Notamacropus eugenii: one gene and its partners. The protein of the gene in region 1 binds, or shares a complex with, the protein of each later gene. Links are inferred from orthologs where the notes say so. Each region holds a gene or a part of one and is shown in the gene's direction. Other genes may lie near its edges.

What was found.
Region 2: CEP290 (region 1) and TMEM237 share a complex: the UniProt entries of both Homo sapiens proteins name them as parts of the tectonic-like complex. The link is inferred for Notamacropus eugenii from reciprocal best matches to the Homo sapiens genes CEP290 and TMEM237.
Region 3: CEP290 (region 1) and TMEM17 share a complex: the UniProt entries of both Homo sapiens proteins name them as parts of the tectonic-like complex. The link is inferred for Notamacropus eugenii from reciprocal best matches to the Homo sapiens genes CEP290 and TMEM17.

What each region holds. Positions count from the first base shown.
Region 1 is NC_092874.1:270,073,204-270,076,951, reverse strand, and holds the start of CEP290 (centrosomal protein of 290 kDa), read left to right. Parts: upstream 1-968; 5' UTR 969-1,233; intron 1,234-1,495; exon of another isoform or gene 1,496-1,582; intron 1,583-2,003; exon of another isoform or gene 2,004-2,078; intron 2,079-3,748. UniProt on the Homo sapiens protein: Involved in early and late steps in cilia formation. Its association with CCP110 is required for inhibition of primary cilia formation by CCP110.
Region 2 is NC_092877.1:297,805,192-297,808,939, reverse strand, and holds the start of TMEM237 (transmembrane protein 237), read left to right. Parts: upstream 1-1,448; 5' UTR 1,449-1,788; coding exon 1,789-1,830; intron 1,831-2,261; exon of another isoform or gene 2,262-2,399; coding exon of another isoform or gene 2,400-2,436; intron 2,437-3,748. UniProt on the Homo sapiens protein: Component of the transition zone in primary cilia. Required for ciliogenesis.
Region 3 is NC_092872.1:642,117,708-642,121,455, forward strand, and holds the start of TMEM17 (transmembrane protein 17), read left to right. Parts: upstream 1-1,078; 5' UTR 1,079-1,179; coding exon 1,180-1,279; intron 1,280-3,748. UniProt on the Homo sapiens protein: Transmembrane component of the tectonic-like complex, a complex localized at the transition zone of primary cilia and acting as a barrier that prevents diffusion of transmembrane proteins between the cilia and plasma membranes.

The sequences.
Region 1 (3,748 bases):
GAGATCATACTGGTAAAGCATATGGCACATGGTAGGCACTATGGAAATGCTAGCTGCTGTTATTTTATCCCCAGAACTTGGCAGTCGCCATAAAAACGTTGGCTGTTTATTATTTGTGTATGCCCAGGACTTAGATCGGCACAGTGACTGCTGCACAGTAAGCACCTTATAAATGCTATAATATAATTTGTGTCTGGCTTAATTTATCTTCTCGGACCTGCCTTGCCCAGGGGCACGGAGGCTCGAACTCAGGTCTTCCAGACTCTAATTAATCCACAATCTCCCAAAGTACAGAGTCCGCTCCTGGGGGCAGGGATGGGGGTGGGGGGGCAGCCGCCAGGGATGCGAGAAGTAAGGAAGGGAGGGACTGAGGTGCGGGAGGGGGCGGGGGTGAGGTTTCTTCTCCCCTCCCCCTCCACCAGGTGGCCCCATTTCCTCGCCCAGTTAGTAGAGGCAGAAGAAACTTTTCTCGCTCAGTCTAGAGGAGAGTCAAAAAGGGCGTGGGGCTGGGGAAGACTGGGTTAGGGGGGCGCTACTCCCCCATGTTCCCCCCGCTCTCGGGAGAATGAAGGAAAAGAGGAGGAGGCCGCGGCTGTGTAGGGAGAAAGGGCGACCGCCCGGCCCCGCGCCCGCCGCTCCTTACCCGTCTCCCGCGGAGGGCCTGAGGAGACGCGAAAAGCCCTCTCTGGACGCCGGTCCCGCTGCACCCTCCTCCTCGCCCCTCTGAGAGCGAGCGAGCGCCGCCGGAGACCCGCCAGGGACGTTCCGCACACTCCTCAGACTCCAAAGACTTGCCGCACTGCACGCCGGGAACTGCACACCTCCGTGCGCTCGCCCAGAACTACATCTCCCGTCATGCGCAGCGCATTCCCCGGTGCACTCTGGGAATCGGAGTTCTCGGTTCATCTCCGATCCCAACCTGTGGCGTTGAGACCTCGCTTAGGGCTGGGGCCGTAAAGCATCGCCTAGCGGTCGTGAAATGTAGGCTAGTTCAGCAGTTCGGCATCCGGGACTTCGGGCTGGATCGGTGGTGGCGCTCTACATATCTACGAGACTGGGGCGAGGGGGAGGGAAACCTTCGGGTCGCCTAGCAGCCGCTGCCGCCGCTCTCCCGAGTAGACCCGCTGTGTAGGCGCGGCGCGGGCGAGCTGGCCCGGGCTGAGAGAGGACAGAGCCTCCTCCAGGAGGGCGGGTGCCCTGCGGGACTGTTCCTTCCGCCACCTCCTGTCACCGGTCAGTGCAGTGCGCCAGGGAGCCCTCCCGACTCTCTCTCTCTTCTCTCCTCCAGGTGCCCCCTGCCCAGATCTTACACCTCGTGCGCCAGGGGTGGATGTTGCTTCCCGAGTCCTGGATTAGGAGTCAGCCTGGAGGGTTGGGAGGTCCGCAGGCATCTCCCCGAATCGCTAGGCCTCAGTTTCCCCCTCTGTAAAGCAGTTGGGGCATCTCTGAAGACTCCTTTTAGCTCTAAATCCGTAATTTCTTTTCCTGCTGCCAGGAGCAGAGTGATGCATAACCTGGATTGTGGGAGCTACCTCTTAATTTAGCGAGTGACCCCTACCCCCTTCCACACCCATCAGAACTGGTAAGAATCGGACCCAGTGTATTTTCACGAGCTTTCTTCCGGGGACCAGACCTCTCACCAGCCTCACCTCTGCCCCCTGGCTTCTTCCGTGCTCTCAACCAAAATCTTACCTTCTACAAGCCTTTCCAGCCCCATTAAGTGGTTGGGGAGGTGCCCTCCCCTCCGTGGTTAGCTACAATGTATCCTTCGTGTAGCCGGTGTGTAACATAGTTACTTTCTTCTGCTTTCCCTTTAAACCCCCCCCCCCCCCCCCCCCCCCCCCCCCCATCATTAGACGCCTTGAGGTCTTCTTGAGTGAGCTACTTGAGGGTGTGGTCTGTTTTTGCTTTGTTTGCTCAAATTTTAGCAGCGTGCCCTGGCACCTAATGAATACTTATGGACTTGATTTGGTAAGGATACCTCTTAACGTCTTTTCTTACAGGGGGTCATCCAACCTGTGACAGATCTCCAATGAAGGGAACGGCCCCTTAGGGCAACTTTTGGAGGCAGGCAACAGGTGGGAATGCAAAGAGTGGTGAAGTTAGAAAGGCTTGGGTTCGAATCCTGCAAGATATTGCTCTGAGCCTCCGTTTTTTTCATCTGTAAAATAGGTTTGTTAATAACTCTTACCTCACAAGGTTGTTGTGAGGGACAAGTGAGATCACATGTAAAAACATGTTGCCAACCTTAAAGTGCTATAAGCATATGAGTTGATATTGTCATTATTACCATTTTCATCTTTATAGTAGGTTGTTGTTTTGTCCACATGACCCCAGTTGTGTGCGCAGATACTGGAGTAGCTTGTCGTTTCTTTCTTCAGCTCATTTTACAGATGAGGAAACTGAGGCAAACAGGGTTAAGTGACTTGCCCAGGGTCACACAGCTAGTAAGTGTCTGAGGCTAGACTTGAACCCAGGTCAACCTGACTCCAGATTTGGTGCTCTGTCCTTCTAGCAACCCAGTGCTCTCTAGGTCGGGGCAGGTAGGTGGTGCAGTGGATAGAGCACCAGTGCAAGAGTCAGGAGGACTGAGTTCAAATATTGCCTCAGACACTTGATACATTCACTAGCTGTGTGACCTTGGGCAAGTTGCTTAACCCCAATTGCCTCATCCTGGGTCATCTCCAGTCATTCTGATGAATATCTGGTCACTGGATTCAGATGGCTCTGGAGGAGAAGTGAGGCTGGTAACCTGCACAGCCCTCCCTCACTCAAAACAAAGTCAAGTGCAAGTCATGTCATCATTTCTCTGATAGCATGGTCTGCTTTGGCAACAAAGGACGAACAGACACATACATGCTCTGTAGGCCTCCTAAAACCTTCATTTGTACAAAAACAGTAGAGAACAAGACAGCTGGAATGGTATGTACCTAGTCCCATTTCCGCTTGATTGTGATGAAACCAGGTCTCTATATTTTGAAAGTTTTTTGTTCCAGGTAGTTTAGAGATTATGAGTATTTGTGATGATACCATCTATTAAAAACATTTTTATGAATAAGTGTTATATTTGGGATGTTATATAGAGGACAGTATGGTCAGTGATGACTGTTCATTCCTGTTTTGGTCTGTGGAGTTGTCTAGGGTATTTGGAGGTCTATGTAACATGGAGATTTGTTGTCTGTTAATCCATGAAAGACAGTGCATTTCTGATGCATAATTTTAGCCAGCTGGTTGCATGTTGCTGGGTATTCTGTGGGTGCTAAACTTTTTACAGCCTCTGCTGTGTTTCCCTATACCATTTTCTTGTATAATCTACATTGATCACTAAGTCTGGCCTTATTATTATTGTTTTTTGCTGTGATAGTAATTCCCATTATTGGACAGTTTTTCCTTAACATCAAGTTTGTCTCTTTGCCAATAATTCTCATTACTCATAGATTTTCCCTTTTGGAACTTAGGAGTCAAATCGCTGTGATGTTAAGTACAGACCTACAAAAGAGGGTTATAAATTTAGAGTCAGAAAAGATCTGATCAGTCACTTAGTCCAACTTATTTATTTTAAAGATGAGAAATTGAAGCCCGGTAGGTTAGATGACTTACTAGAGGTAACACAGGCAACAATGGCAAAGTCAGGATTTGAATCCAGATCCTCTAACTTGAAATCCAGCATTCTTTGCACTGTGCCTGATTGCATCTAACTAACTGTAGCTGATCTTTTCATTTTGTTTTAGTGAATTTTGCCCAATTC
Region 2 (3,748 bases), on another chromosome or scaffold:
AAAAGTGCCAGACTTTTCAACTCAAGCCTAGCAATAACATGTGAAATTTCTGATTTTGTGTTTCTATCTCTCAAAAGTTAAAAATGCATAGGTATCCACTCCAAGCATTTTGGGGGAAAGAAGAGGGAAGGGGTCAGGGCAAACAGCCTACCATAGTTATCTCTTTTCTAACCGTTACAGACTTAATCCCTGGATTTGCATATGAACAGGAACTCTCAAATGGATCTCACTCAGTTTAATCACACAGTGAACAAATACCAAGAATCTTCCCCAAGTAAAGTTGTAATTGTGAAAATGAAATTTGGCTTTAAATTTTAGGAGAAAGATAACACACACACACACACACACACACACAGACACACACACACACACACACACACACACACACACACACACACACACCCTCTCTGTTTTACTGCCGACCTTCTACATTTCTACTTATTCCCACCCACTCTACTATCTATAATGTACAAATTAAAAAAAAAAGACACTTTAAAATATTTCAGTCTTAGGTTCCTCATTCTAAGACGCAGTGCGGAAAGAGTATGGATTTGGGAGGATTAGGGATTCAGAAAACCTGGGCTCAGATCCTGCCTGGGACACTTTGTGACTGAGCAAATCACTCAATTACCTACTCTGTAAAATGGAGAGGGTGGTCTAGATGGCCTCTAAGGTTCCTTCTAAATGTAAAATGCTATTTTCATAAGCAACATGGGCATTGGACCGAGGTCCAATCCTAGGAAGACTTGGATTCAGGTTCTGACAAGCTGTGTGACCACGGGCCAGTCACTTCACGCTGCCATACCACTGACTGTATGAGGTCATCTAATCCAATACCTTCATTTCATAGAAGAGAAAAATGAAGGCCAGAGAGGTTGAATGACTTGGCCTACAAGGAGCAGGGCCAAGATTTGAACATCCTCCAACTCCAAAGCCATTGTTACTTTACTTTCATTTAGTCACTCATGGGTAGAAGGGATTTTTACATGGGAGTAGACCACTCCCCTGACCCCCCAAAAGTCCTGAATTTAAAAGCAAACATTAAAATGCCATGTACCTGCTGAAAGACCAAAGGCCACCACTGCACCTAACACCCTGGGGTTCAGCTGTATCCAACTTCTCATGACCCCGGGTTTGCTAGGCAGACACTGGAGTGGTTTGCCTGTGCTTCCCCAGCTGATTTTACAGATGAGGTAACTGAGGCACACAGGGTTAAGTGGCTCAGTCCCACAGCCAGTGAGGTCCCAGTCTGAACTGACGGTGCCATCTAGCTACAGCTCCACACCGTCTTTTGCTAGGCGTCTGTGGCCCTCAGCTGCGTTTCTCACAGACAGACAGGACTGTGAGAGAGGATGAGGCCGGCATCCCTGCTCTTTGGCCACACTCCGCTGGCCCGCAGGCAGGCGCACAGGCACTGACACACTTTCACACACACGCGGGGGCACAGGCACGCCAACACACGTGTACGCAGACCACGCACAAAGACAGCAGGATTCCTACAGACACAGCCACACTCACACGGACACTCCTACACGGACACAAATACGCACACACTCGTCCTCGTGCACACCCACGCGCGCACATTTCCACACGCGCTCCAGCCCTCGGGGCAGACTAGGGCGGGAAGCACCGCCCCGCCGGGAGTCGGCCTGGTCCCCGGCGCCCGCACGCCCTCCCTCTCCCAGCCCACACCTCCGGAGCGGAGCGCGGCGCGGCGCGGGCTCGAGGCGGGGGCTGGGCCTCGGGCCGGGCGGCGGCGGTTGCCCAGGAGGTTGCGCTGGACGCGGCATGAGGCCGGAGCCCGGGCCCCCGCAGGAGGAACCCAGCCCGGTGAGCCGCAGCGGTGGTGTGCTGGGCGGGGCTGGGGGGTCTCCGGGGCGTTATCTGGGGGCACCCCGCCCTCTCGCCTCGTTAGGGGTGCGGGGCCCTAGGTCTCGGGAAAGGGCCGGTGGCGGCCGGCCGGCTTGGGCGTGCGCTGCCATGACGACGCCCCGCCCTCCCAGGGCCACCAGTTGGGGTCCTCCTTTTCCACTTCCGCTTCTGGGCCTCTCTTACTCCGACCGCTTTCGCCGCCCACCCGTCCCGGAGAGCTCGGTCCGCCTGCGGGGAGGCCGTCATTTGCGCCCAGTCTCCCTTGGCTTCCCTCCCTCTCCTCCGGTCACACCCACGCTTCTCTGTCTGTCCCACTAGCTAGACCGGCGGAGCGGGGCCGGGCCTCGGGGGCGGGGCCTAGTGACGCAACGACGCACGGCGCGTCTGGGCCCTCCCCGCCACGTGTTAAGTGGCCAGTGGGCGGGGCTCGGGCTGGAGTCTTGCCCTGCTGCGGGCGCTGCCCGGGGCGGGCTGTGCGGGCATCCCACTGGCGCGCGGTGGCCGGCTCCTTCCGAGGCGGGCCTTAGATGGTATGGGGAAGAAACAGGTGGTAAGCCTCCGTCAGTGACTTGTTTTCCTTTGTTTCGCACGCCGTGACTGGGGAGGGGCGTCGTGCGTGGGTGTGCTGGCTTTGGGTGATGAGAGGGCCAGTCCCTGCCGGCCTTCCCGCTGAGATCCTCGTGATCCATTGGTCCTGGGAGGGAGCCTGGACCCAAAACGATAAATGAGGTCTCTGCGCGTGGCCTGTGTGCTGCTGTCGCTTTTTATACAACCGTTTTTTAATTTGTCTTCTTATTTTTCATTAGCATTGCTGTTAGTATAGTATTGAATATATTAATAAAAGCTTTGTTCAGCTAAGGACAGAGTTTAGGAGGAAAGTCATTAGCACTTATCCTTTTCGATATGCAGTATTGTTCCTGCACTAAACATAAGAGAAAAGAAATTAATGGGCATTTTCTTTATTAGATCTGTGATTTCATTGGTATCAGGAACGTCCCAACAGACAACCACCTCCACCAGTGCAGAAGTGTTAAAACAGTGGTCTGCAAAGCAGGGCGTGCACACACCGGGAGGGTGCATGAGTGCTAAGAAAATGTCAGGAAACAATTGTTCAGTGGCTGCTACGTGCCAAGCCTTTAAGTGCTTACTGTGTTAAGTGCTGGACATATACAGAATGGCAAAAAAGCAATTTAATCTAATGGTAACCACCACCTGACTCAACCCCTTCCATCCTGGCCAGGGCCCAATGTGGGCTGTGCTGAATGGTCAGCCATTTAAGCTCCTCACCATGCAAGAAGGTGCAGGGAGGGGGTGATGGGAATAAATCCTTCTTCCCGAAGTCCTTGCATCCTCCTTGCCTCTACCCCTGTGACCCACTTTTGTAAGTCGAAGGGTACATCTTCCTGGCCTGAGCTTGGCATACTAGTTCCTTGCTGCCTGTCCAGGCTCTTTTCTAAACTCCCTCACCCCAAAAAGAATGAGAGGCTTACACTAGACTGGAGGCATCTGCAGCAAGGAGAAGCCAAGAGGGTCAGGCCCAGCTGAGGTGATGGCATTATAAATGGAAGTGAATATATCAGCATTGACAGCTAGCAAGAGTTGGGAGGCAGCAGGGGTGGCTGCAGTCAGTGGGCTTGGGGATCAAGCAGTCAGACTGCCGAGAACCCTATTATTGCCCCCAACCAACCAGACAGCTTCAAAGTAAATGAAGGCCATTTACAGGTGGGAAACCAAGGCCTCCCCAGGCATCTTGCTGTGTGTCCTGCTTCCTTTTTCTTATCTGGAACAACCACCACCCTCTAGATCTGGGACCTGATCCCCAGAGACCATGTCTCTCACCCCTTGACTTGAGGGAAGAAGACATTTAACAGTCAGA
Region 3 (3,748 bases), on another chromosome or scaffold:
ACTGAGGTTCTACAGCTGGCTTCGTGGACTTGTCCGTCCTGCTTCTCAAAGCTGGGAGCCAGAGGAGCCACTCTTCCCCAGGTAGGGGGCCCTGCCTAGGCTCAGTGGGGGGAGATTCACGCCCCTGGCCCTGCAAGTCAAATGTTACAAGCGTTCTTGGTTTCCTTTGTAATCGTACGTATTTTATTTTAAGCATTTTTTAAAAGGGGTTTCAGCAGAGTACTAAAGCGTTCATTACACCGAAACGTTTTAGAGTAGCGTTACAATTCACCCTATCTAGGCTGATACAGTATCATGATAGGCAATATTTCCAATACATAGAAAAATCTGACAGCGGCCTCCAAAGAGTGACAATAAAATTTTGGCCACGAGTAAGTCCTGTTCCACCTCAGCACGCGGAGCAAGCCTAACCCTTGCTGTTCCCACCGGAACACCGACAGCCTTGGGAGGACAGCCGGCCTGGGTTCTGATCCGGCGGGCTCCCTGAGCCTTCGGGGGGCGCACGCGGAAGCGGGCCCCCTCCTCGGGCCCGCAGGGGCAGCGGGTGTCAGCGCTGGGACGCGGCCGGGCTGTCCGCATGACCGCCACCCCCAGGGCCCGGAGCGGGCCGGGCGCACGTACGAGCCGGACTGCAGCCCTCCCGCCTCCCTCCCCAATGCCAGGACTCGGGTTCTAGCGCTGGGTTCACGCCGGTGTTACAGAGCCCCGCCCAGGGTGCCAGGCCTCTCCTGGAGGATCCCCGGGCTCTGGCTCGGCCCTGGGGGTATTTTCCAAGGCCTGACATCCGGGTCTTTCCGAGGCTGTGACGGGGTGCGGGGCCCCCGCCGGACTGAACAGGGGATATTTAGTGAGGGAGAGAAACTGGCTTCGGCCCGGGCCTCTTAGGGCCTGCATGTGGGGCAGGGGATCACGTCTCCGGACCTCAGTTTCCCTATCTGTAAAACAAAGACGTAGGTCTAGGCCGCCTCTCAGGTACAGCTAACGCTGGGCACACAGACCTCCTCCATTGGGCCTCCGCGGGAGGGTGGTCCCCAAGCGCGCAGGCGCCCGGGCCCAGCCTGTGGCCCCGCCCCGCCAGGGTTGCCATAGGAACCGCCGCCTGTTGGGGTGGGGGAAGGGAGGCCGGGCTCCAAGGGGAGCTGAGGCTTCGGTGGGTTTCGGGACCCGTGGAGAGAAGCCATGGAGCTGCCCTTTCCGGTCCGGCAGCGGCTGATGAACTTTAGCCGAACCGTGTTTACCGACACAAACCGAACCAATCCAGAATCCAGCCTCAACTTCTGTGAGTGGCAAGGGCCTTAGGAGAAGGGGCTGAGGGCGTGCGCGGGCAGAAGGGGGCGGGAAATGACGTTGGGGTCGTGCCCACACTGAACATGGCGGCTCGGTCTTCAGCGGGCTCTGACGGGGCGGGGGAGGAGGGGGTCCTTCCCTCCAGAACCCTTCCCCGATCTCCGATGACGGGGTTTGGGACTGACTGAGGCCCCCTTACTGGGACAGGAGTGAATCGATCTGGCAAGTCATCGATTAATTAATGGTGCCCGATGGCAGCTGTAACGCCTCTGGGCCTGAAGGGGGGAGGGCGAAGAGGGCTAAGTTCAAGTTCAAGTTCAAGCTGAGCGCCCGGCGCGCTCTGCTGTCTCGCTACCTCTTTTCTGAGACTAGAAATGACCAACTAGTTGCGTGAACACAAATCCCCAGAGGAAGCTCCCTAAATAATAAATATTTAATAAATATTAAATCATAGGTATGAGCCCCAAAAAAGAGAAAAGAAAGGAAAAAAATCGAACATCTCAAAAAGCTGTGCTTTTCTGAAAAAAAAAATGTGTTTCTGGTGGCTCTCCTTATTTTCACGCAAATCTTGGGGTGCCTGGTGTGGGGGAGGGGAGGAGCGCAGAGGTCAAGTTCCCAAGGGGGCCTCGAGCCCGGAGGTCCGGAGTCTTGAGGTCTCCTCTGGCCTCAGCTTCCTTCTTGGCAAAGGTGCTGCAGGGCTCTGCCATTTCCTTCTCCAGGTCATTTGACAGTGGGGAAACTGAGGCACACAGAGTTCAGTGCCTTGCCCAAGGTCACTGTTGCTGAGGCAGAATTCGAACTCATGACTCTCTCTGGGTGCCTGGCACCTCCCTTCCAACCCTGAAACTGGTGTTTTCAGCATCATCTCAGCTCTATTTAAGACCTTAGGATGCTTTATTTTAACTAGAAAGCAACACTTTGTACCGTTTTCTGCTTTCTGTTCCTGAAGAAATCAATATTTGATTTTTTTAACTCTATACTCAATTTTTATCATTAGAGATTTTTAGCCCCATGTATATCCATCCTAGCAACTACCATGCAGGTCCTAGAAAGGATTAGACAGGCTGGTTGATTTATCTCTCAATAGGTTTAACATCTTAAGGCAATTAATGTCATTAATATATGAATTTTTTTCAAGGACTGAAGTTTGAAAAATATTTTTATTGTTAAGAATAGAAATGTAGTTGCTTATTTTAATATGTTGTTGACAATTATTTAAAAAGTTCCCCTGTGGAAATCCACTGTGGTGTAGAGGACATGGAGCCAGACTTAGAATCAGGAAGACCTGGGTCCAAGTCCTACCTTTGACAAATACTTGCTTTGTGACCTGAGGAAAGTCACCATCCTAAACCAGGGGTGGGGAACCTGCAGCCTTGAGGCCACGTGTGGCTCTCTAGGTCCTCAAGTGTGACCCTTTGACTGAATCTACACGTCATAGAAGAAATCCACTTAATAAAAGAATTTGTTCTGTAAAAAACTTGGACTCCGTCAAAGGCCACACCGAAGGCCACACCTGGAAGACCACGAGTGGCCTTGAGACTTCAGGTTCCCCAACCTTGTCCTAAACTCTCAGTGCCCCAGGAAACTCTGTAAACATTACCCTGAAGTTCAGGTGCTGACCTAGCATTGGAAGAGGAAATTTCCTCACAGGGGGTTCCTTATACCACTAGAATGATGAATAAAATCTTCTGTCCTGCAAACCCCACCCTCAAATCCATAGAGATATAGTAGAGGGGTAATATTTTATTTAAAAATTTTTAAACCTTTGGAATGTTAAACAACTAAAGAATATGGATTATTTCAAAATATATACTTTTTGCATATGAAATTTGGCCTCATTATTTTGGAACTTGGCTAACTTTGTACTTGAATTCATAGGATCTGTGTTGCCTCCTTTAGGACTTTCTGTTTACACAAATGAAAAACATACTGCATCATAATCTCTAGTGACTAGTAATTTCTTGGCAGAGCAAACTTATGATTGGTATGGTCCTTACAACACTATGGCAGTCATGGCAATTGTGTTATGGAGATATTGAATCCAATGATGTGTACATTTCTCCTCCCCAAAAGCTGCAATAAAATTAATCATAATTATCTGTTATACTTTGAGGCCACATATTGCCTGCATGAACAGGGAAAGACCCAACAGACAGTAATTACAAAGTGATGATATACTATACTATTATTCGCTTCCTAATCACCAAAAATAGCCAGTCTCTAGAATTGAACCCAGTGTTTTTTATATAGCTGACGCTTAATATATATTTATTTAATTAATATTAAGGCCACTATTCCTTCTTCTGGTAGTGGTTCTAAATTAGCACAAAATTTGAATTAAAAAATATCATAGCTCCAGTTCTTCTAATAATGTGGATTTTGAGGAGCAGAAAGGACATCTCTGAAATAGTATGGTTAAGGGTTGGGTTTTTTGTTTGTTTTTTGCTCCTTTTTCCTTCCT